Tamandua tetradactyla: one gene and its partners. The protein of the gene in region 3 binds, or shares a complex with, the protein of the main gene of each other region. Links are inferred from orthologs where the notes say so. Each region holds a gene or a part of one and is shown on either strand. Other genes may lie near its edges.

Evidence for each region.
Region 1: the proteins of ARHGEF7 (region 3) and SHANK1 are in contact, whole or in part, in a crystal structure (PDB 3L4F), measured with the Rattus norvegicus proteins. The link is inferred for Tamandua tetradactyla from reciprocal best matches to the Homo sapiens genes ARHGEF7 and SHANK1. Residues at the interface, in XP_063131056.1 of Rattus norvegicus: Asp735, Ala737, Trp738, Asp739, Glu740, Thr741, Asn742, Leu743; in NP_113939.2 of Rattus norvegicus: Gly673, Phe674, Gly675, Phe676, Val677, Leu678, Arg679, Gly680, Ala681, Lys682, Phe696, Glu703, His735, Arg736, Val739, Ile742.
Region 2: the proteins of ARHGEF7 (region 3) and PAK1 are in contact, whole or in part, in an NMR structure (PDB 1ZSG), measured with the Homo sapiens proteins. The link is inferred for Tamandua tetradactyla from reciprocal best matches to the Homo sapiens genes ARHGEF7 and PAK1. Residues at the interface, in NP_001106983.1 of Homo sapiens: Lys192, Phe193, Phe195, Thr198, Asp201, Glu202, Glu217, Gly220, Trp221, Trp232, Pro234, Ser235, Asn236, Tyr237; in NP_001363202.1 of Homo sapiens: Thr185, Pro186, Pro188, Val189, Ile190, Ala191, Pro192, Arg193, Lys198, Arg203, Ser204.

The regions. Positions count from the first base shown.
Region 1 is NC_135342.1:10,568,002-10,575,623, reverse strand, and holds the start of SHANK1 (SH3 and multiple ankyrin repeat domains protein 1), read right to left. Parts: upstream 3,092-7,622; coding exon 2,843-3,091; intron 2,618-2,842; coding exon 2,414-2,617; intron 1,827-2,413; coding exon 1,755-1,826; intron 813-1,754; coding exon 704-812; intron 527-703; coding exon 375-526; intron 1-374. UniProt on the Homo sapiens protein: Seems to be an adapter protein in the postsynaptic density (PSD) of excitatory synapses that interconnects receptors of the postsynaptic membrane including NMDA-type and metabotropic glutamate receptors via complexes with GKAP/PSD-95 and Homer, respectively, and the actin-based cytoskeleton.
Region 2 is NC_135334.1:67,315,445-67,323,446, reverse strand, and holds the start of PAK1 (serine/threonine-protein kinase PAK 1), read right to left. Parts: upstream 3,053-8,002; 5' UTR 2,821-3,052; intron 1-2,820. UniProt on the Homo sapiens protein: Protein kinase involved in intracellular signaling pathways downstream of integrins and receptor-type kinases that plays an important role in cytoskeleton dynamics, in cell adhesion, migration, proliferation, apoptosis, mitosis, and in vesicle-mediated transport processes.
Region 3 is NC_135330.1:180,969,775-180,976,826, forward strand, and holds the start of ARHGEF7 (rho guanine nucleotide exchange factor 7), read left to right. Parts: upstream 1-4,011; 5' UTR 4,012-4,251; intron 4,252-4,529; exon of another isoform or gene 4,530-4,643; 5' UTR 4,644-5,043; coding exon 5,044-5,208; intron 5,209-7,052. UniProt on the Homo sapiens protein: Acts as a RAC1 guanine nucleotide exchange factor (GEF) and can induce membrane ruffling. Functions in cell migration, attachment and cell spreading. Promotes targeting of RAC1 to focal adhesions. May function as a positive regulator of apoptosis.

The DNA of each region.
Region 1 (7,622 bases), on a different chromosome or scaffold from region 3:
GGGGTCTCTAACCCAGTTAAGGAGGGCCAGGAGGGGTGTACATTAGGGCAGGTGCGGAGAAGGGCTGCCCTGGAGAGGTGAAGAGTGGCTGCTTTCCACCAAAAAGAAAGAACTTAGGTGTGAGAAAGAACAAAAGGTAAAAGGGGGAGAGAAAAACCGAGAAGGGGTGTGGTTCAAGGAAGGGAAAGGAAGGGCATCTCCCCGGGTTTCTGGGAGGGGGCGTGTGGGAGACAAAGCTAGAGGACAGGGAGGGCAGAAGGCAGGGTCTGGGGCAGCTCACCCAGTTGGTCTCTAAGGGAAACGCAGTATTTGGGGGGAGGGTCTCTGAGCCCACATCTCCGGGCTGGCAGGGTCTTGGGGTCTGGCAGCCTCACCGTGAGAGCCAGGCAGTGGCGGGCGCAGGCAGCCTTGTGCAGGGCCGTCATGCCGTCCCGGGCGCGGAAGTCGATGTGCGCCCCGCCCAGGCACAGGGTTCGAATCACCTCCACGGAGCCTTCGGTCTGGGCCGCCAGCGTCAGCGGGGTCTCTAGGGGGAGGGGTGACGGGAGGAGGGGGATGTGATTGCCTGCAGCCCCCGTGCCTCAGTGCCCACCCCTCCTGCTTTCCCAGACCCCAGGTTCTTGGCTCCGGGGTTGTGCACTCCCCAACCTCTGCACCCCCAGCCTCTCCCTCCGCCCCCCCATCCCATGGCCCCCCTACCCACCTCCCGAATCCGAGTCGTGATAGTTGGGGTCGAGGCCTTTGTCCAGAAGCCGGGCCACCTTGTCGGACGTCCCGAGCTGCACGTACTCCAGAAACTTCTTCAACCCCGTCTGAGTGACGGACAAAAGGAGAGGGTCAGGGGGCCAAAGGGAGAAGAGTAGGAGGGGCCTCGGGGAGCCCTCGCGGTAAGCCTCCTGGGCCGCTGAAGCTGCTCTAGCAGCCACCGTAAGGAAAATGTTCCATTTTACTGACATTAATTTCGATGAAACGTTATCGAACCCAACAGAGGTCAACTAGTACCATTTCCATAGGGCAATCGATATCAAAATTATTCACGAGACGTTGTACGTGTTTTTCATCCCACGTCAATAAACTCCAGTGTGAATCTGATGCTCATGATACGTCTCAGTTTGGACTTGTTCCCCTGCCTGCAAGAGCTCGCTGCCCTGGCCTGTGCAGGCCTGGAGCCCAGGGGACCCTCAGGAGAGGAAAGAGTCAGGTGTGGGGTACGGCGGGGGGCTACGGGTGAAGATCCAGGGGCCTCTTTTCCCACATATCCAGGTTCTCTCTCTTCACTTCTTATGCAAGCAGCCCCCCGCTGCCCACCTTCTCTTAGGAGAGCAGGGACCTGGTCTGCAGATAGGACAGCGAGGGGGTGGGTGGGCATGGCTGGGGGTGGGGTGGGGGGGGTGCTTGGCTTTGGCAGAGTTTTAGGTGATGGAATGGGGGAGCTGCAGGGCTCTTAAAACACTCCCCGGGCAGAGGGCAACTGGATGTCAGGGGTGCAGGGACTCTGGGAGGAGCCTGGGGGCTCAGGATGAGAAAGGGGAGTTGAAAGACAAGGGAAATGGGAGCCAGGTAGAAATAGTGTGTGGCAAAGAAGTGGTGGGCGCCAAAGAGGGGAGTCAGAAGGGGTTATGTCATGTGGGCCAGTCCCGAACAGCATGTGGCACCCCACGTCAAGGAGGGGAACCTGTCGGAGGAATAGAAGGCTGGGGATAAGGAGGGCTGTTGGAGGGGGGCTCCGAGGGGACATGCAGCGGGGGGCTCACCTTCGTGTGCAACTTGGCCAGCTGTTTCTCATCCAGGTTGGTCTGCTTGTAAACTCGGGTCTTGTATCGGAACTGAGGCCCGGGGAAGGTGGGGGGGGGGAGGAGAGACACAGAACTCAGAATCAGGGGCCTGGGGAGGAGATGGGGGGGGTAGGGTCTGTCCCTCCCCCGCCTCCATCCCCTTCTGAGCCAGGGGTCAGCCCAGGGGTGAGGTGGGACGAGGCATGGCGCCTTTGCTGGGTGGGCAGAGATGCCGGCCGGCTTTTCCCAGAGGGCTGGGCTGTGGTCGCGCAGGTAAGTGACAGCCCCTCCCTCAAAGTGGGAGCCTGGACCTTCGAGAGAATGTTCTAGAGCACCTCTATGTGCCTAATCCTTCTGTGCCTGCCCCATCTCTGTAACTGGGCCAGGAGAAGCTTCAGGGGAGAGAGAGGGGGCATATGGCTCAAGGTACTCAGCCAATTGGAGGCAGATGAGAGCTAGATTTGAATTCAGGCGTCTTCTCCTCTCCCCTGGCTCTGGGGCAACCTGAGCCCCGAAATAGCCCCCTGTTAAGAAACTTTTGGCTGGGGTTGGCTGGAGTTGGCTGGGAGGGAGGGGGGAGGGTGTGCTGGGGAGGTGGGGGGCTCCCCTTTTCTTTCTGAACCGGCTGTGGGCCTCACCTCCAGGTAGGGCACCCCTTTCTCGAAGGACTGGGGGTACTCGCGCAGCAGCCGCTCCTCTTCCAGGAAGTTGGCGTCGCGGCCGGAGGTGGCAGGCTGGAACAGGCCGTAGTTGAGCACGTCGTGCAGGCTCTCACTCAGGGCGCACAAGATCTGCTGCTTGGCTGTCCAGATGGTGGCGTCGGGGTTGAAGCGCAGACATTTCTGGGGGGGGTGGGAGTGGGGAGCATGGGGTCAGGGGCCGGGGAGGAGCCTGGGGTGAGTGCTGGGGGGGGCATTCTGAGGACAGGAGGGGCAGAGGGAGTGGGGGGGGGTTTCTGGGAATGGGGGCGTCCCAGGGGGAACACCCTGCCGCAGAGGCGCCCCCAGTGTGCTCAGGCCCCTGCCCGCCCCCTGCCCGCCCGCTGCCCGCCCCCGCTGGCCACAAACCGTCTGGTGCAGGTCGGGGATGCCAATCCTGAAGACCATCATGCTGAAGTGGGCGTCGTCCGGGACAGACATGGAGCGGCCCTGGAGGCCTCGGACCGAGGCCAGACTACCAGGCGGCCCGCTGCCCCGGGTCCCCCGGGGGCCTCGCCCGGGTCCGTCTGGGGAGCTTTCGGACTCCGAGCCCTCCTCGGGGCACTCGCTGGCACTGCGGTGGTCTTCGTCCTCGCTCGACGCGGGGCTGTGGGGCATCGTGGGGCCACGGGGCGACGGGGGACGGCAGCATTACAGGCGGCTGCGGAGGCCAAGCAGGGACGTCAGACCCGGAGCCGGGGAACCCCTGAGAGGCCACTGGAGGCCACGGGCAGCTAAGGGGCAGGGGGAGGCGGGCTGAGGCGGGCACACCACACCCCCGGCCGCTCGCGCCGCCTCCCCGCGCGCTCCCGCATGCACCCCCCCAGGCCCCGCCACGCTTCCAGCAGGTCTCCTTCCCTGTCCTTGGCCCCCCTTGCAGCCCCCCACCCCCCCTGCGCCCCACTTTGCCGCTGACCCAGCGTCGCTGTGTCCCAGAAACCGCAGAATCACCGCGGGAGCTACTGGCCCACTTTGGAAGGCCACAGAAAGGCAGCTAAAATTAGCCGAGGACAGACAGGTGGACGCGCCCACCGGCATTGCGCCCTCCTGGCCCCTGGCTGGCCCCTCACCCAAGGCCCTTCCCTCCTCCCAGAGAGCGGGTGTGGGGGGGTTGGGGGGTGACTGAGGCCGGGGTGTAGTGAGGGAGAGTGGGAGGTGCCCGGGAGCGGGTGGGACTAGACTCCACCGCGTGCGGCTGGCAGCCCAGGCAGAGCAGCGTGGCTGGGAAGCCGGCGTCCCAGGGGAGCAGGCAGCACCCAGGAATGCTGTCCCTGAGGGAGGTGGGAAAGGCGGCCAGTGTAGGCTGTTGGGGGTGCATCTTGGGATGGCACGTGGGTGGCGGGGGCCTGTCTGGGTGGAGGCCTGGGGTGGGCTCAGGATGTGCCCCATGGGTGTGTTTCAGGCACTGGTGCCTCCACTCCTAGAGGCCTTGGGGTGAGAGAAAGGGGACCAGCTGGGAGGTCACCAGGTCACCTCCAGACCCCCACTGTTCTCCCCTGAGGTGGCCCAAATGAGGCCTGCCTCCCCCATGGCCTCCCCCACTCCCACCCCAGCACCGGAAACCAGAATGTCTGGTCTGGTCCCTCCCCCCCACGCCAGGCCCGGCTCCTGCACGGTTGCCATGGAAATGGGAAGCAGTGGAGGGTACTGCTGACTTTGGGGGAGTGGGGATGGGCTGGGGGGTTGGGGGAGGGAAGGCAAAAACGTGTGTGTGTGTGTGTGTGTGTGTGTGTGTGTGTGTGTGTTGGGGGGAGGAGAGTTCCAAGAGCTGCGGGCCAAGCATCCAGCCAGGGGCCACGGGCCCCTCCCCCACGCGAGGCCGGGTCGCCGCACCCCCCTCCTGCTCCAGGTCCCCCGCGGCGCCGCCCCACCTGGCCTCTACTGGAACCCCGGCCGCCTTCTGACACCCCCTCCTGGCCCCACCCCACGTCCCACCTTAGGACCTGGGGCCTGAAGCCACTCCCCCTCCGCTGACCCTGGCTGACCTCCAGCCTCAACTGGGCACTGCTGGGGTGACCAGCGGCAAGGAAGAAAAGCCGACCGGGGTCCCCAGCACGCGCGGCTGCCCCCCCCCCGCCCCCGGCCCAGCTCGGGCCCCTCCCCCTCAGGCCCCGAGGGAGGGAGCGGGCACACTCCGCCGGGGCGGCATGAATCAAACGCTCCACGGCTAAGAATAGCTGGCACGCAGCTGGTACTGAGACTGGCTGAGGAATCGGCGGGGGGGGGGTGGTAGAAAAGGGGAGAGAGGGGGTGCCCTGCGAGGCTGCGGGGGGACGGGGTCGACCGGCGTGGCCGCGAGCGGAGCCCCGGAGAATGAATGGAGGCGGAGAGAGGCGCGGGGAGGCGGGAGAGGGAGCTGGGGTTGGGGCCAAGAAGCTGGTGGGGCAGAGCCCCGGACCCGGGAGAGGGGGCGGGGGGCACCCGGGAGCGCGACTCGGGGGCGGGAGCCGAGGGGGCGCGGCGGCCGGTGCAGAAGGAAAAAGAGACAGGGTGGGGTGGGGGGAGCTTGGGAAAGGGTTGGGAGGGGATTGGAGGAGCCTGGAAGGAGAAGCAAGGGGTCGAAGGGGGCGGAGGCGGCCAAAGCCTAGACCCCCCCACAGGGCGGTGGGAACCTGGGTGACCTGGGGGAGGGACCGCGAGCAGAAGGGCTGCCAAAGGGGGCAAGGGGCTCCGGCGGGCCAGGGTGGGCGAGGTGGGGGAGTGGCCGGGTAGGGCCGGAAGGCGGGTTCGGGCCCGGGGTTCTGCTGGCGGGGGCTGGGGGGCGTCCCCCTCCCACCAAGACTGATCTGGGACGGGACACCGGGGACCGGGGCGTAACCCAATTTGGCGTTGCCCCGGGTGACGCTCCCCTCCTCAACCCGCCCCCCTCCCAACCTGGGCCCCGAGCCCGGCGCGCGGCCAAGGACATCCGGGGCGCCCCCGCCCCCTCCCGCAGCCCCGGCCCCGCGGATCCCCCGAACCCCCGGATTCCCGGGCCCCTTACCTGCCTGGCGGGGCTGCTGAGTCCCGGTCGGCGGCGCCCGCGGCCCCTCCCCCCTCCCCCCTCCCCCCACCCCCCCGGAGACGGGGGGGGACCCTCAGGCCATGCCCCACCGCCCCGGAGGGCGAGCGGGCCCGGGGAGGGGGCGGGCGGAGGCCGGGGGGAGGGCGGGGGTGCCGAGGACCTCACCCCCGCCGCGGGCCGGGCCTGGCCATCCGCAGAGGGCCCCCCTGCCGCCGCGGCCGCCGCGCCCCTCCTTGCCCGCCCCCGGCTCGGTCCGGCCGGCCCCGGGCGCCGCGTCTCCTTCTGCTCTTCCTCCGCCGCTTCCCCGGGCCGCCGCCGCCACCCGCTCCGCGCCTCCTCTGCCTCCCTTCTCGCGCTCTCGCTCTAGCTGTCTCTCCCTCACCCTGTCTCTCTCTCTCCCTCCTTCTCTCTCTCCCCTCCCTCCGCCCTCTCCCCTCCCTCCGCCCTCTCCCCTCCCTCCGGGAGCCGGCAGAGGAGACTTCGCCCCTCCCCGCGCCCCCAAACCTCGCCCATCCCCCCCCCCCCCCCCCAGCGCCGGCTCCGCCCCCTCCCCTCGCCCTCCCCCCAGCACTCCTCGCTGCCGCCGCCGGGTCCCCAAATCCTGACTCCACCCCTGCTTGCCCCCCTGTACCCGACGAAAGGGCCCTTCGCTCCAGGGGTGCCCAAACGCGGACCCCAGGAGGCCCCCCTCCCAGAGGCTCCCCACCCCCTCTGTACACAGCAGGGCACAGTACGTATCTGTTGCTGGACGCTGCACCCCCAGATTATTGGACTGTGTGATTATAGATTCCTGGCCCCTTAAAGGCGCCCCCCACACTTCCCCCATGACAGGGGCGCACGTGGACACACCTGACCCAGCATGCTTTCCCATGAGACACAGGCGTGTGGAGGTGCGAGCTGACACCCGCAGAGTGGCCACCATGCACACACCACCCCACATATACATGCTGTCTAGGGTATGCACACCCAGACACTATGGGCCTCGGTGCACCTTGCTTCAAACACACCCAGCCAGGACAGGTAGGTATCACAGCTGAGCGCCAGAACATGCCCACGTGTGTAAGCCCCGTTCTCCAGCACACAGACACACAGCTGTGGGGAGGTATGTGCACGTGCTCCTGATGTATTTGCTCCCTGGTCACTTGTCAGTACAACACACCCACTGAGGCAACAACACTATGTCCAGTCCCCTTTTGCGATAATTATTGTGACATTTATTTAGCGCTTCCTTGGTGCCAAGCTCTGCTCAAGGTTGGTTAACTCCTCCTCTCACACCCAACCCCGCTGGATTAGGAAATTTTTTCATCCTCGTTTAACAGTGGGGAGGGGAGGGTTACCAAGGCACAGAGAGGCTAAGTAACTTGCCCAAGGTCACACAGCCCCAAAGAGGTGGTGCCAAGGACCGGGGACAGGTAGGCTGGCCTCAGAGTCTTTGCTTACCTACTAATGTGTACAGCTGGGCACACCCACATTTGCATATCCTTGTTCATCGTGCACACTCAGACGCACCCAGCCATCTCCTCACGGCTTGCACAGACATGTGCAAGCACACACACACAAAGCTAGGTGTGTGCAGACAGCCCACTCATGCCTGTGTCTACAGAGACAGGACGGGTCCCAAAGGACAGCAGGTGAGCATCCGCATGGCTCAGGCTGCCTCCTTCCCAGCCCCACCACCGCCCCTCAGGGCCACCAGCCTGCACAGGGGAGTTCCAGCAGCCTCTGGGTGCACCACCAGCTGTGGGCTCTCTGGGGTACCCCAGTATGAGCTAGAGCAGGTGCCGCTGCCCCTCAGGGGTGCCCAGACCCGGGAGGCCTCGTGCTCAATGCATACCACTGGCCCAGGTGGTAAGCAGCTGGGCTCTGGGAGACAACAGCTGCCCACACTGGTGCCAGCTGCAAGAGAGGCCACCCAGCCCTCTACAGTTTACAAGCCTTTCAGGGCTGGGAATGATTTCGTAAGGCCTCCAGGCCCTGGCGAGGGGTCCCCAGGATCTGCCCAAGGTCATACTGCCCTCGAGTACCAGGCTTTCTTGGAAAACCGAAGGCACCTCCTGGGTTTCCGGCGACCGAGGGCAGATGCGCAGCTCCTGGTTGGAGCCAGAAGGAAACCTTGGCTAGCTGCCGCCATACTGGCGACCTCCA
Region 2 (8,002 bases), on a different chromosome or scaffold from region 3:
TATCACGGGTCAAACTATACAAACAAGAGGAGGACCGCTACACTTGTCACCCCCTGGGGCCCACTCGGGTCCACCTCACTCATGCTACTCATTCTCCTAACCCCCATTGAGGGCGCATCCTATGTATGGAAGTTCAAAATCAGGGAAACCTTTAGCCAAAATGATAGATTGACCACTCATATGATTGGCACAGGAGACTGCCCTCTAACAGGTTGTAGTCAGCCTATAACCATCCCCATAAATCCTAAATCAGTTGAAAAGGGCCTGAGGCCATATGCCTGCTTTCCATATGCCCAAACTGAAAGCTGTAACCAAAACAACTATGACAATATATATGGGGGATGCCCCCATTGGTCATGCAGAATACATGATGCTTATGTGGAGGCAGCTCATAAAGGTACCTTCTACATTAGCTCCCAGCAATTTTACATAAATATTGCAGATCCCTGGGACACAAGATGGGTAGCAGGAATCCAAGGCAAGCTATACTACAGTGGCTGGTCCCGATACCCTGTAAGCACCATTGAAATACACCACAAATATGTCCTCATTAATACTACTTTTACCCGGGTATCCACGGGCATTTTGCAGGCTGAGCAAAGCCTCTCCAGCCACCTTGCCCAAAGCTCTGCCTCCACAACCCCTCATACATGGCCCCAAATCCTCCAACAAACCTTGCAATTCCTCAACCAAATGCAAATACTCCCTAAGGTATCCTGCTGTTTCCTCTGTGCATCATTAAATAGGCCACTATTGGGAGCCGTCCCTATAAATCTCACTCAAATACACAATCATAGCCCTGATTCCTGCCATACCACTCTAAAAAATATCCCCCTATGGGAACCAGAGCCTGATAACCTTCCCTACCTCCTGAAAACCTGCTACCTCACACATATAACCATAGATCAAACAAAACATCATAGCAAGTGCCAGACTAACGTCACTATCCATAACACCACCCATGCCCCCAAAGGACAATATTTCTGGGGTAATGGAACTCTTACCAAGTGCCTTCACTCCACTGCCCCAGGGCCATGCTTCCTGGTAACTATTGTTCCTCAATTGACCCTCTATGGGGAGTCCGAACTAACCTGGCTACTGCCCTCTCCTCGCTCAAAAAGGGCTGCCTTTCTTCCTATCCTAGTAGGCATCAGCCTAACCGCTTCAGTCGCAGCCTCAACCACAGCGGGAGGGGCATTGGGACACAATATTTTAACCTCTCAAAACTTTGAAACTTGACTACAGGTAGCCCTGGAATCAACGTCAGAATCCCTCTCCTCTCTACAATGCCAACTCACCTCACTAGCCCAGGTAACTCTTCAAAATCGACGGGCCTTAGACCTGCTGACAGCCGAAAAAGGAGGAACGTGTATATTCCTACAAGAGGAATGCTGCTATTACATCAATGAGTCGGGTCTGGTGGAACAAAATATTCAAACCCTAAACAAACTAAGAGACGATCTCTATCACAGAAAACAAGGAACCAACTCTGCCTTTAGCTGATTTTCTTCTCCTCTGGTGACATGGCTCCTCCCACTACTAGGACCAGTTATCCTAATCTGTCTCTTTTTCCTCCTAGCTCCCTGCCTCCTCAACTTCCTTCAGGGATGCATGAAGGAACTATCCTGGGTAGCAATCAACCAAATGCTCCTGCATCATTATCATCACCTGCCTTCCTCACCAGATTCCTACAGCCAGCCTCCCCACTCCCCTGGCCATGACGGTTCCGGCCTATAACCCCACGCCACCCCATTACAGCAGGAAGTAGCCAGAAAGATCTCGGCGCCCTATTATCACAAAAAGGCTGGAATGTTAGGTCAGAGGAATGGGGAAAGGCACTGCAGCTGGAGCTGCAGAGGCTGTGTCACCCTTCCCAACCTGACTTCTGGAACTAATGAACTGCCCCTTCCGGACGTCATCTGACCCCCATCCTTAAAAGCTGCCCGCACTGAAGCCCATGTGCGGACTCACCTCTCTCCATCTTGGATGCGGTGAGCTCTGCCTGGGAGCGCAGAAATAAACTCGCTCACTTTAAATTTCCTGGTCTACTTTTCTTCTTTTTCACCCTTTTGCCTCCTAAACCTTTCAGAGGGCATCCCAAGAAAAGAGAAAACCCATATAAAGGCAGGAAGGCAGGAAAGAATAGGCCCTTTCGGAGAACTGCACGTGGTTTTACATGGCTGGAGAGTAAGGTTTAGAGGGCAGAGTGGCTGTGCTGGAGGAGGCAGCAGGGCTGAGAGCCTGGTCTGCCCTGCTGAAAGAGTTAGGATGTCCCGACAGGTTTTAAGCAAGAAGTGACAGAGCCTGATTATGTTTTATATTTCTTCCTTGGTACATTCTTATTTTTTAAAAATCATACAAGTAATATGGATTCATTATAAAATAATCAAAATTTAGATGAAGAAAATAGCAATTGCTTATAAACTTAGCATCATAAGTAAGTTTGTATGCTGTGTATCCTTCTAACCAGTTTTCTCTGAATTTCCTCATCCCCTTCCCCTCATCTATTTTACAGGGGCATCCAACCTTCTAGAATCTCCATGACCTTTGAGATAGAAAAAATCCTATTCAAACCACTCTCCCAAGCATGACAGGAAACCCAGATCCCTACCACTATCTCTGTGGATTCTCTTTTTTTTTGGGGGGGGGGGGGTGTTTTAGTTTATAAGTGCTGCTAGAGTGCAATACACCAGAAATGGCACAGCTTCTAATAAGGGGAATTTACTAAATTGCAAGTTTACAGTTCTATGGATTTTGAAAATGTCCAAATTAAGTCAAGGCTATAATAATGTCCAAACTAAGGCATCCAGGGAAATATACCTTTGTCGAGAAGGCTGATAAGGTTTGGGTTTTCTCTCAGCAGGAAAGGCATATGGCAACATCTGCTAGCTTTATCTCCTGGCTTCTTGTTTCATAAGCACCCCTGGTGGGGGGTGGGGTGGGGCATTTTCCTTTGGCATCTCCAGAGGTCTCTGGCTGTTGGGTCTTAGATGTTGGTCCTGGTGGCTTTTGTTGGTTCTAAAGCTTTTTCCAAAATGGTTCCCTCTTAAAGGGCTCCAGTAAGCAACCCTACCTAGAATGGGTGGAGACACATCTCCATGGAAACCATCTAAGAAAAAGTTACTGCTCACAATTGGGTGGGTCACACCTCCATGGAAACAATAAAAAAGATCCCACCCAGTACTATTGAGTGAGAATTAAAGGACATGGCTTTTCTGGGGTACATAATAGCTTCAAACTGCACAGGGGCAATGGGGTAATGTTTCTTTTGATCCCCTTTAGCTTTGAGTTTCCACCTTGATCTCCACCCTGAATTTCACTTCGTGGGGCACCTCAACCCTTTTTTCTATACCATACAACCCTGTTAGATATTTCCTCAACCTTTTCTCTCCCCCATATATTTCCTAAACAAGGCTATGTGTTTATCTTTAGAAAGGTTTTGGGGCAAGAGAGGATGGCTTATATTGTAGCACAGCCCAAAGAACAGCTTGAAACTAAGGAATAGACATCAGTTCTTTTAAGAGTCTATCAGTCATTCCCATCATTGGAAAATTCTCATTGACTGTCCCTCCACGGTGACACCAGCTGCCCAGGTTCTCTTGCTCCCTTCCTCCCTCTCTTTTTCATTCTCCAAAATCAGACTTCTCTAGCTATAAACCCCAAAGCTTCCATCCCCAATTCTCACTCTCTTTTGTACAAAGTAATTCAGCATTCCCCTCGTTTACTCCAACCCACAAAGAGATTCTAAGTTATTCTACTAAATCAAAAGTTTCTCCCCATATTAGTTTCCTAGAGCTGCTGTAACAAATAACCACAAACTGGGTGGCTTAAAACAACAGAAATTTATTCTCTCATGTCATATTGTCATATAAATGTTTTTTATCCTACTGGCTGCATTTACTTTACAGCTTTGGTATTTTAAATATCCTTCCTTAAATATGTTTGTTCCTAAATAATATTCTGCTACATCTTTTGAAATGGCTACATACTTTATTTTTGGACACTTAAGTTGTTTCCAATTTTTTATTGTTACAAACAGTGCCACAAGAGGTGTGTATGTGTTTATTTCCACGGTATACATTTTCTAGTAGTGGAGTCGGTTTTCGTACCCTCTAGAAGGGCTGCATCAGTTTATACATCCAGAAAGGCTTTTAAGTGTCTCAATCTCCAAACACTTTCTAATAGTGCACATATTTGTCCTTATTTTTTTGTGCCTTTAATTTGCATTTCTTTGACCAATAGTGAAGTTCAACTTTTTTCATATGTATTGAGCACTTGGGTTTTTTTCTTATGTAAAATGCCTTTTCTTGTCAATTGTGCATTTTTCATTTTAGATATTTGTGTTTTTCTTACTGATTTGAAAAAGGTCTTTGAAAGCTATGGATATGGACCTTTGGTTCAGGATGCTTCCCTAGAATGTCATTTGTCTTTCAATGTGTGGTAATTTTTGCTACAAAAAGTTTTACTTTTTTATGTAACCAACTCTAGCATCCTTTATGCCTTCATCCTTTAATTTCATGTTTATGAAGTCCTTCTTTATTCCAAGGTTTTATAAATGTTCAGCTATGTTTTCTTCTACTCATATCAAAAATTTTCATTTACTTACATTAAAATTTTTAATCTTTTCCTGCAATTTATCTTAGGGTTACATTTCAATATTTTTCCATGTGAGTACCCCATTATTGCAGCACCATTTGTTGAATTTTTTGTTTGTTTGTTTTCAATTGTTTATTTGCTTGTTTGTTTTTGTTTGGGGGAAAGGCATGGACGGGGACTCAAACCCAGGTCTCCCGCATGGCAGGCAAGAATTCTACCACTGAATTACCCTGGCACCCCCTTTAACTTTGTTTTGATGGTAGGTAATGGCCCAACATTCTACCCACTGCGATGAATCACAAGCTTCCTTATATACTAAATTCTAACAAATACTTGGATATTTTTCTGAATTCTCTGTTTTTGAGCTAGCACCATAATGTTTTTGTTTCAGGTGTATAAACAATTCATTAATAGGCAAGGCCTATAGACTCATCTCTCCTTGGACACACCCACGGCACAACCACGGTGACCAGTGTTCTCCGTTGCTGGCCTTGGGCATGAAGGCCCCAGAAGTGGCACAGCCCTCCGCGGACTCGAATCTTCTTCAGTCGCTCTAGATCTTCACGGAGCTTGTTGGCCAGACTGTTGGCCAGGACCTGGCTGTGTTTTCCACCTTTGATGTCCTTCTGTCAGCCTAGGATCTCGTGCAGAAGCGGATTCTGCATAAAGGTGATCACACTTTCCACCTCATCCTCGGTGAGCTCTCCTGCCCTCTTGGTGAGGTCGATGCCTGCCTCCCTCAGCACCGCAGGAGCTTACCTTCGCCCCACACCCTTACTTAACGGCAGTGCTGGCAAGGGCTGTCTTTCCGCGCTGCAGATGTGGGTGCTGAGCACACGCAAAATGTGCTGGAATTTCTCCAGGATCTCTAGAGACGGGGCTGCGTGTAGCGGGAGTGTAGCCTCCTGTGAAAGCCATAATGTTTTAATTATTGTATCCTGCAGGTTTTCTCTTTTTTTTTTTTTTTTTTTTTTTTTTTTGGTGCATGGTCCGGGAGTTGAACCCAGGTCTCCCTCATGGGAGGTGAGCAGTCTACCACTGAACTACCACTGAACCACCCGCACCCCTGTGGGTTCATTTTAATATCTGGTAGAGAAAGGAATTTTTAGTTCTGTTCTTTCTATTAATGCACATGATTTTTCTCATTTGTTTATTTTTCTAAATAAACTTTAAAATAGCATCTTTTGCATTCTGAAAGAAAAAAACCCCAGACGTTTTATTGGAATTTTATATTTATAGACTTGGTTTGAGGAAAGTTAATACCCTTACAACATTAAATCTTCCAATACATTCATGTAATACATTTCTACCCTTATTCAAATCTCCCTTTAGAGTTTTGTAGAATCACATGTTTATCATTAAATTTATAGCTGGGTGTTTTGATTATTTTCATTGTTGTGATAATGTCTTTCTTCCATTATATTTCTTTACTGATTATTGTTGGTATATAAGAAAATTAATTTTTAAATATCTCTGTTACAATTGCCAAACTTTCTTAACTCTATTATTAATGCTAATAGTTTTCCAAGCAACCATATCATCTCCAAATAATAATTTTGTTTCCCTATTAAATATTTACACCTTGTTTCTTTCTCTCATTATTGCATTGATTAATACTTCCAGAATAACGTTAAGTAACTATAATGCCAGTCAAATTACTAGTCTTAATGGGAATGTTTCTAATGTTTTACTGCTAAGTATAATATAAGCCAGTGGTTTGGTTTGAGATCAGTATTCATTATCATGCTAACTAAGGTGTTTTTCTTTAAAAATAAAACGTGTATGTTGATTTTTATCAAAATGTTTTAAGCATTTTGTTCAGATGATCATATGCTTTTTCTCCTTTGATACATCGATGACATAAATTATATATAAATAGATTTTTTATAAAACATTGAACATTCTTATTTTCTTAGATTAAACCCCCATTTGGTCATGGTGAGTTGTGTTTTAAAATATATAACTGCGGGTTCGGTTTGGAAAATTGATTGAGGAAAGGCAAGGTCAAATGCAGAAAGAACATTTAGGAGGCAATTGCAGTTCTGAAATGAAACAATGGCAGTGCAAATAGAGAAAAGGTCTAGCTCTATGAGATATTTAAGAGGAAATATCTATGAGAGGTAGTGGCTCACTATATTTGAGAGACAAAGAAAAAAAAAGAAATTCAAGAGAGGTCCCAGGTTCTTGGTTAGGAGACATTTACCAAGACAGGGATATAGGAAGAAAAGAAGTTCTAGTGAGTGTTGGAGTTAAGAATAGAGGATGAGCTCAATTTAGGGTTTGATGTCCTGAGTTGGTTATACATGTGGGTCTGGAGCAGAGAGATTTGAGCTGCAGATATTGATTCGGTAACTATCAGTGCTTGGAGACAGACAGCTAAGCGTGGAGAGTGATACTATAAAATGAAGGCTGAAAATGGAACCACAGAGAATATCCAATTCTAAGACATGGGAGAAGGAAGAAAACCCTGAGAAGACAGAGCCAATGAGGTAGGAAGAAAACCTATTCTGTTCACCAGGAAAACAAGAGGATGATAGAATTTCAGGGAGGAAGTGGTCAATAATCTCAAATGGAACAGAGTTGTTCAGTCAGACAAGAACTAGATAATACTTTCAGGATTTGTCAAGACCCCATTGATGACCTTTGCAAAATCAATTTCAGTGAAGGTGAAAAGTGAGGGGGAAATCTGATTATGCTGTGTATCGAGCATAACCTTGCGTTTCTTTTCAGATTGCCTTGAATGCTCCTTTCTATCCAAAGTCACGCTCACCCATAGGACTGCTGCTGCCTCTGCCAAGTACCTTCAGTTGGTTGGAGTCGAAACTGAAGCCCCAGGCCTGTGCGTGTGCGCACACACACACACACACACACACACACACACACACACACGTCTGCGCTGAATTGTCCCTCTGCTATCAGACGGATTAAATGCTGTAACACAGGGTGTGAAATCTTGCTTCCTGAACTGCCATTGAGAGGCCAGATGATGCACAATAGACGTTACACAGAAGTACAGGGGAGTTATCTTCCTATGGACCTTGACAAATGGGAAATGGGCGACAGAAGAGGACCAGGCAGGTGCATTCCCCTAATTTCTCCTTTCCACAGACTGTTCTATGGTGTGATTCCTCCTTATAGCCATGCAGGGGAACTCCCATTTGACTTATCTGCTAAGTCACCTGCTGTTTTTCATCTTGGCTCACTGGAAGCATTGCCCAGCATGGTAGCACATCACACTGTATTGCCTGACTTGCCTGTCCCTCACTTTTACTCTCCTCACTTGCACCTCCCCCCAAAAGAACCAGCACTTTAATCCTAATTCCAGGTTCTGCAATCTAGAGGACCTGGGGGTAAGGTAAGGTGATAAACTGAATAGGAGGTAAGGTAGTAGAGAAAAGCAGTATAG
Region 3 (7,052 bases):
GTCCCTCGATCCTAGGAGATGGGAGTCAGTGGACTAAGCCTTAGCCTCCCTGTCCTCTAGTCAGAGGCTTCCCAGGGGAACTGAGCACCAATTGCTCATTTACACACTTTTTATTCATTTTCTCCCTCCTGCTTCACTTTATAACCTCCTTTACTTGTGCTTTCTGGAATCACTTCCCAAATGAACTAGTTCCATCTAAATCATTGCCACAGGATCTGCTTTTGGGGGAACCCAAACTTAGATAAGCAACTTGTTAACTTTATGCTTCACAATAGATGATATTGGTAAACTGTTTTCTGATCCTGAGTAATTTTTTCAATCATATATATGTATCTATAAACTTTTTTCTTTCCTTACATCTTTAATATTTACTATTTGGCCATATTTATTCCAAATAAATAGGACACTTTTATAAAATGAATGCTTTTCTGATACATACTTACAGTAGATATGAGTTTTCATAGAACTGCTTTTATCAATTTAGTTGATGGTTCAATTCAGTAAAATCCATTCTGCAGGGAGTCATTACTACACACTCAAGGATAGATATCTCCTTGTCCAGCTTAAGGTTGGGGTAGAACTTAACATATTTATAAGACTATCTTCACAGTCAAGCACAGTGCCTTTCAGCTGAGCTTTTGATAATTATTGGTTTGCATCTAAGTTTTTAGGTGTATTCCTAACAAATATCTGGAATGTGGCTGTCAGGCATGAATAAGCAGCCCAGTTAGGAATAAAGCTGAAATCCTCTCATGAGAGCTGCAAGAACTAAAGAGCATATGCCTGCACCAAAAGCCATTCCATGTTCTTTTGACAGTGAGCCCAAGGAATATCTACAACTCAGGGCCAAAATTTTCCTTAGAAAATAATTTTTATTGGTCCTCACCCAGTGGATCAATGAGTGATGGGCTATAGAGTTTCAATTCCATAGAATATGTCCTCTATAATTGTAACCTGGAAAACTTTTAAGGCAAGCTTAACCAAATGCATACCTTGGATACTAAAATACTTGAATTAAGCACCTAAAAACATTTAGCTTTGAACAGTGTTACTTTCTGGAATGTTTAGTTTGTTAAGCTGCCGGGATGCAACATACCAGAAACATTATGACTTCTAAAAAGAGGAATTTATTAATTTGCAAGTTTACAGTTCTAAGGCATGAAAATGTTCAAATTAAGGCACCAACAAGAGGTTACCTTCTCTCAAGAAAGGCTGATGCCATTCGGAACACCTCTGTTAGCTGGGAAGGCATGTGGCTGGCTGGCATCTGCTGGGGTCTTTGGCTTCTGGACACCTCTGTCAGCTGGGAAGGCTCAGGGCTATGTCTACTAACCTTCTTTCCTGGGCTCTTCAATGGCTTCCCCGGGGGCATTTTCTTTCATCTCCAAAGGTCTCTGGCTGTGTGGGCTCTTGGGCTCTGTTGGCACTGAAGCTTTTTTCAAAATTGTTCCCTTTTAAAGGGCTCCAGTAAGCAACTCTACCTTGAACGAGTAGAGACGCATCTCCATGGAAACCATCTAATCAAAAGGTACCACCCACAATGGGGTGGGTCACATCTCCATGGAAATAATAAAAAAGATCCCATCCAGCAATATTGAATAAGGATGAAAGAATATGGCTTTTCTGGAACATGCAACAGTTTCAAACTTGCATCCCTTCCAAATAAGCTCTTTTTGAAATTAATATACATCCAAGGGAAAAGAATGCCCTTGGTAAATAAAAATGTTTAAAATTTCGGGACCTTCTACAAAACAAAAAACAAAAAACAAAAAACAATATAATTAGCTACCAGCTTCACTGGTCTCCTAAGGCTTCTTCCTAGAGCTTGCTTTTTGTAGAACTATTTTACTGAGTTAATTTGAATCTTACTTTTTTATCAGATTTATAAATGCCAGACCTAATTTAATAGAATAATTGTAATGAAGACATTCTAAATTATTTTTCCAATTCAACAGTAATGAGAGTACATAGGAATCTCAGTGAAAAATTACCCTTGCATTCATATCCTTCTATTGATAAAGACTCTTGGGGCATAAAACTTGATATAGTTTATATTAGTCAGGGTTTTTCAGAGAATCAGAGCCAACAGGATATATGTGTGTATGTGTGTGTTTTCTGTGTATACATATATACAGAAATTTATTTTAAGGAATTGGCTTATGCAATTGTGGGGAATGGCAAGTCTGAATTCTGCAGGATGGAGAAATTACAGTAAGAGTAATAACTGAAGTCTTGAGTTCAAATTTCTTAGGCGAAGCTGACAGACTGGAAATTCTGCAAGATTTGATGTTGGGTCTGAAATTTGTAGGGGAGGCTGGCAGGCAGGAAACTCAGAGAAGTTGAGGGTGTAGTCTTGAAGCAGAATTTCCTCTTTACTTTGGAACCCTCAGTTTACTTTTAATGCTTCCAAATGATTGGATGAGGCTCACCCACATTACCCAGGATAATCTCCTTTACTTAACGTCAGCTAGCACCATCTACAAAATACTTCATGGCAACATCTAAGCCAGTGTTTGATCAAACAGTTGGACACCATAACCTAATCAAGTTACATATAAAATTAACCACCATATAGCTGTTAGCTTCTCTAATGGTCTTCTGAAAGCCTAAAGGAAAGCAATATAGAAAACAGGTTAGGTCCATCAGTTCTGGAGCCAGATAGCTTGGATTTGAATCCATCTCTACCTCTTACTGCATGTGTGACCTCGGACAATGATTTCATTTCTGTAGGCTGCATTTCCTCTTCTGTAAAATGGGGATAATGAGAGTAATTTCATAAGGTTGTGTTAATGATTTCGTGACATAATACAATTAGAGCAGTTGACACAGTACTTGGCATTTAGTGAGCAAATGGTAGCTATTATCACCAAATATTAGTTACCTTCATAACCCAGAATTGATAATGTTATTGAATTATCTTATGTTTCTATTTGGAAAGCAAACTGGTTAAGAAAGCTGGAATATATGCAATTAATGATTGCACAGAAACACTCTCGATGAAAGCAGAAAAAGAGGAGGAAGAGTTAAGCCTCTTTACTTTCTAAAATAATAAAACTTTATATAATTTCTAGCTCTTCTCGCTAAATGTATTAATATGTGTGCCTGAAACACAGTACCCTTTCTATAAGCGATTGATAATATCATTTTAAACTATCGTGGAAGTAAAGGCAAAGAAAGAGGGAAAGCACTGACAACTCATGCAGATGAAATAAATGAAAGTAAATGTAGCAATGAAATCTCCTTACATACTGTCCTGTTTTTAAAAGAAGCTCTATTTCTTCTTCAGGATATAAATATGAGTTGTTTGAAAAAACTCGTTTATTACACTACGGTTTGAGGTCCGAATTCCTTAAGTTAGACCTGTACGTGTCCATAGACCTGTGTCTAATTGAGGCTCTTTTTACTCATATATAATCCAACTAAGTGCCTAATTTGAGCTGTTTACATTTTCCTTCGTAATAATCTACGTAGATCCGTTTTAGGTGTTATTTTCTTGACTTTCCTCTAACAGTGTTTGTAACGTCACCATTAATTTAAAGTGGAGTGATTCCAAGGTTTCTGGACTACGAACATTCTCTCCCCAAATGGCCCGTACGTACGTATATTTAGCCACCCTCCTTCCAGAATTTGGTGAGGTCACCAGCCGTCTTAACCAACCTTCCACTAGGGGGCACACGAAACCAAGCAGCATAGCGTTAAATTGCTGTTCACGTTTAAAAGGACTAGCAGCAGCGTTAGGAAAATCAATCCCTTCCTGAATTAGACCCATCTGGTTACATACTTAATTATAATTTATGTTCCCGTAATTATTGTATTGGAAGGTGGCGGTGGCGAAGAGAGACGAATGTCTCTTTTTCAGGACACCCCCTCTCCCCCGCCCTTGAAATCAAACTGGCAAAAATAAAAAGAGAATTCTGGGAAATATTTAATAATTGAAACATTCATGTTTAAAAATAAATAAATAAAACTTTATGAGTCCTCTAAGGAAGGGAGTGGGGCGGAGGAAGGGACAGAAGAGCGAAAAAAGTCAAGTGAGGCTCTTCCAACCAGATGGTGTCTGCTTAATAGACCCGGAGCAGAAGCGCAAATGGTTAACATATTGTGTAGAGGGAAACCGCACATGGCCGCGTGGGGGAAGGGAGGCCGCGCGAGCCTTCGTTGGTAAAACCACCTCCGCGAGTGAGACTGAATCCGGTCTTCTAGAGGTCAAAAGGACTTCTCGGGGCTGTCGCTTACTTAACAGCTGTCCAGGTAAGGACGTGCGCGCGCGCACACACATGCATAGGAGAATAATGGTGAGAATGGTCATTGAAGGGTGTCTAGATGGATGACTGTATCTAAATTCTCACATAAATGCACCTGTAAGTGGATCCACATGTGCAAAACCATATGCTCCAAGGCTTTACATTAACGGTTTATTCCTTGTGTCATTCGTGAAATTCTGGTGTGGGTTACATTTATATCATGCTCAAAGCCTGCGCAAAACCGCACGCAGCGTGTCCATTTGTCCGCGCGGCCCCGGCCCGTACCTAGAACAAGGCGAACCCATCTGTCGTGCGCAGCGGTGGCGGCTGGAACACGCCGAGGCGATGACAGGATGTAGAGCCGCTTGCAAACGGCATCTTCTTTTCTTCTTATTTCAGTGATGTCATTGGGCTACAGCAGCTGAGCGAGCAGGAGGAGGAGGAGGCGGAGGCGCCCCGGCTGCCGCCGCCGCCGCCGCCGCTGCAGGTTCATGTGCATATAATGAAAAGGCACTTGACAGTCTGCCAAAACGCACGCCAGGGAGAGGGAGCGAAACTGGACCTACTGGATTTCGCAAAGCCAATCGTCATCATCTGCATCTACATGGGGAAGGAGGAGGAGGAGGAGGAGGAGGTGGGATCAGAAGCTCCAGCCTCGGCTGCTCCAATGTGAAACCACGAGCAAAAAAGGGGGATCAGAAAAAGCAACGGAGAGCGAGCGAGGAGGGAAAGGTTGCTCCGTGTGCGGTATCCCCCCCCTTCCTTCCCCCTGCGGATTTCTCCTCCTCTTCGGGCAGCTATGAATTCCGCTGAACAGACCGTTACGTGGCTCATTACCTTGGGGGTGCTGGAGTCGCCCAAAAAAACCATCTCGGACCCAGAGGGCTTTTTGCAGTCGTCTCTCAAAGATGGGGTGGTCCTCTGCAGGCTGCTGGACCGCCTGCTCCCTGGGACCATAGAGAAAGTAAGTGCTATTTCAGCCCGCGCGCGGCCCCCGGCCCCCCCACCGCGCCCCCGCCTGGCCGCAGTCGCCGACCCCGGGGCGCCAGGCGGCACCCCACCCCTAGGCTTGACCCCTGCGCTCCGACGCCCACGCGCCCGCCTCCTGCCTGCGTGGTCCCGGGCACAAAGCTCAGGACCCCTGGGCCCCGGCCGCTGAGGCCCGAGATGGGCAGACGAGTGCCGGGACGCGGGAACCGCCTTGCGCCTTGGCACCTGGTTGACCCGCGCGGCAGTACCAGCCGCCCACCTCTGCCCAGAGGAAAAGGTGACGCGCAGGCAGGAAGCCTACGCACTTTCCTTTGTGCGCGGATCCCCCCTGGAAGTCCGGTTCGCGCCGGGAAAGCGCGGACGCATCTCCGCCGCGCACGGCGCTCCCCGCCCGACCGACCGTGAGGACCCGAGTAGCGGGAGCTCGGAGGGCGCCATTGTGTGCAGAGTGTGGAGTGGCGGGCCCGAGCCGGGCGGGGGGCTCCGTGGCCGCGCGCGGGGGGTGGGCGGGAGCCTGGGGCCGCTGCAAAGGGGACGGATCCCGCAGGCGGGCGCAGCCCCAGTGTCTTCTCCCGGTCCGATTTCGAAGGTTAGAACAGTTCTCTACACAAGAAGAAATCGGATTTTCTGTTCCGTTCTAATATTAAGTTGCTCCTCGGGTGTCGTGAGGTCTGTCTGCTCAGATCCCTTACAGTGACCTAATCAGAAAAGCTCGTTCCAACACCATGCACAGTTTTCTCCGATGGCTTTGTTTGGATAATTTTTCGTTGGTGGGGATATTGCAGTAGTTTCATCATTTTTCTGTTTAATTGACCAATTCCTATGCATTTTTTGAAGGTACATTCGTCAATAGCTGAGAGCTGAGCTGTGAAATGATTTACTACTTTCCCAAAGAAAGAATTCCTCATGTATTCCAATCCATGTGGATTGCAATCACTTAAGTTAAAAAGCCCTGGCATTCTTCAGAATTTGTTCAAAATACAAGATTTTATTTTCAGATTTCTACCTGATTCTGAACAGATCCAGAGTCCTGGAGTATTGCTTCTCCCTACTCCTGTCTAGTGGTTTCCCTAGGGATAAAGTGTGAACCTTGACCTGTATTTCTGTGAGTGATTAAAGTTTGTTTTCATCTCTACAAGCTGACAAAGCATGGGTGAGGGGATATGAAATCTTTTAAAAACTATATATCCTGCTATTTAAAAAATACTACAATTTTATTCCAAAATTTTTTTTGCCAGGGTATAATTTAAGATGAATCTTTTTAGAGATTATTTTTAAAATATTAAGTATGGAAGTTGGAGCGCACTATAATTTGGAGGAACAATTTCATTTTTTGTGGAGTTTTTAGCCCCTACAAACCAAGACAATTTTTTTTCCAAAGACGATTTTTAATAATAAAAAAGTTAATAAAATGACTTGAAAAAGTAAAACGTTTATCCTCATTCATAAATTTGCATATGTTCTGGGATTACATTTTGAAGGCCAGAAAAATTTTATTTAGCATAATAATTTTAGATGCTTTTCTTACGGGTAACATATTTGTGAACACAGAATGTGCACTTTAGAGTTAATACCTGCCTGCTTGTCCATGAAATAAAAATGTTGCTTCTAGATGAATCTGATGTCACGATAAAATTATGATTTAAAATGAGAATTACAAGCAGGATCTATGATTTTTTTTTTTTTTCGCATGGGCAGGCACCGGGAATCGAACCCCGGTCTCTGCATGCAACAAGCAGGATCTAATTTTCAGGGCTCTCAAAATACTTTGTTGTCATCTGAATATCAGTATTTCTGGTAATAAAAGTCAGAGTTGAA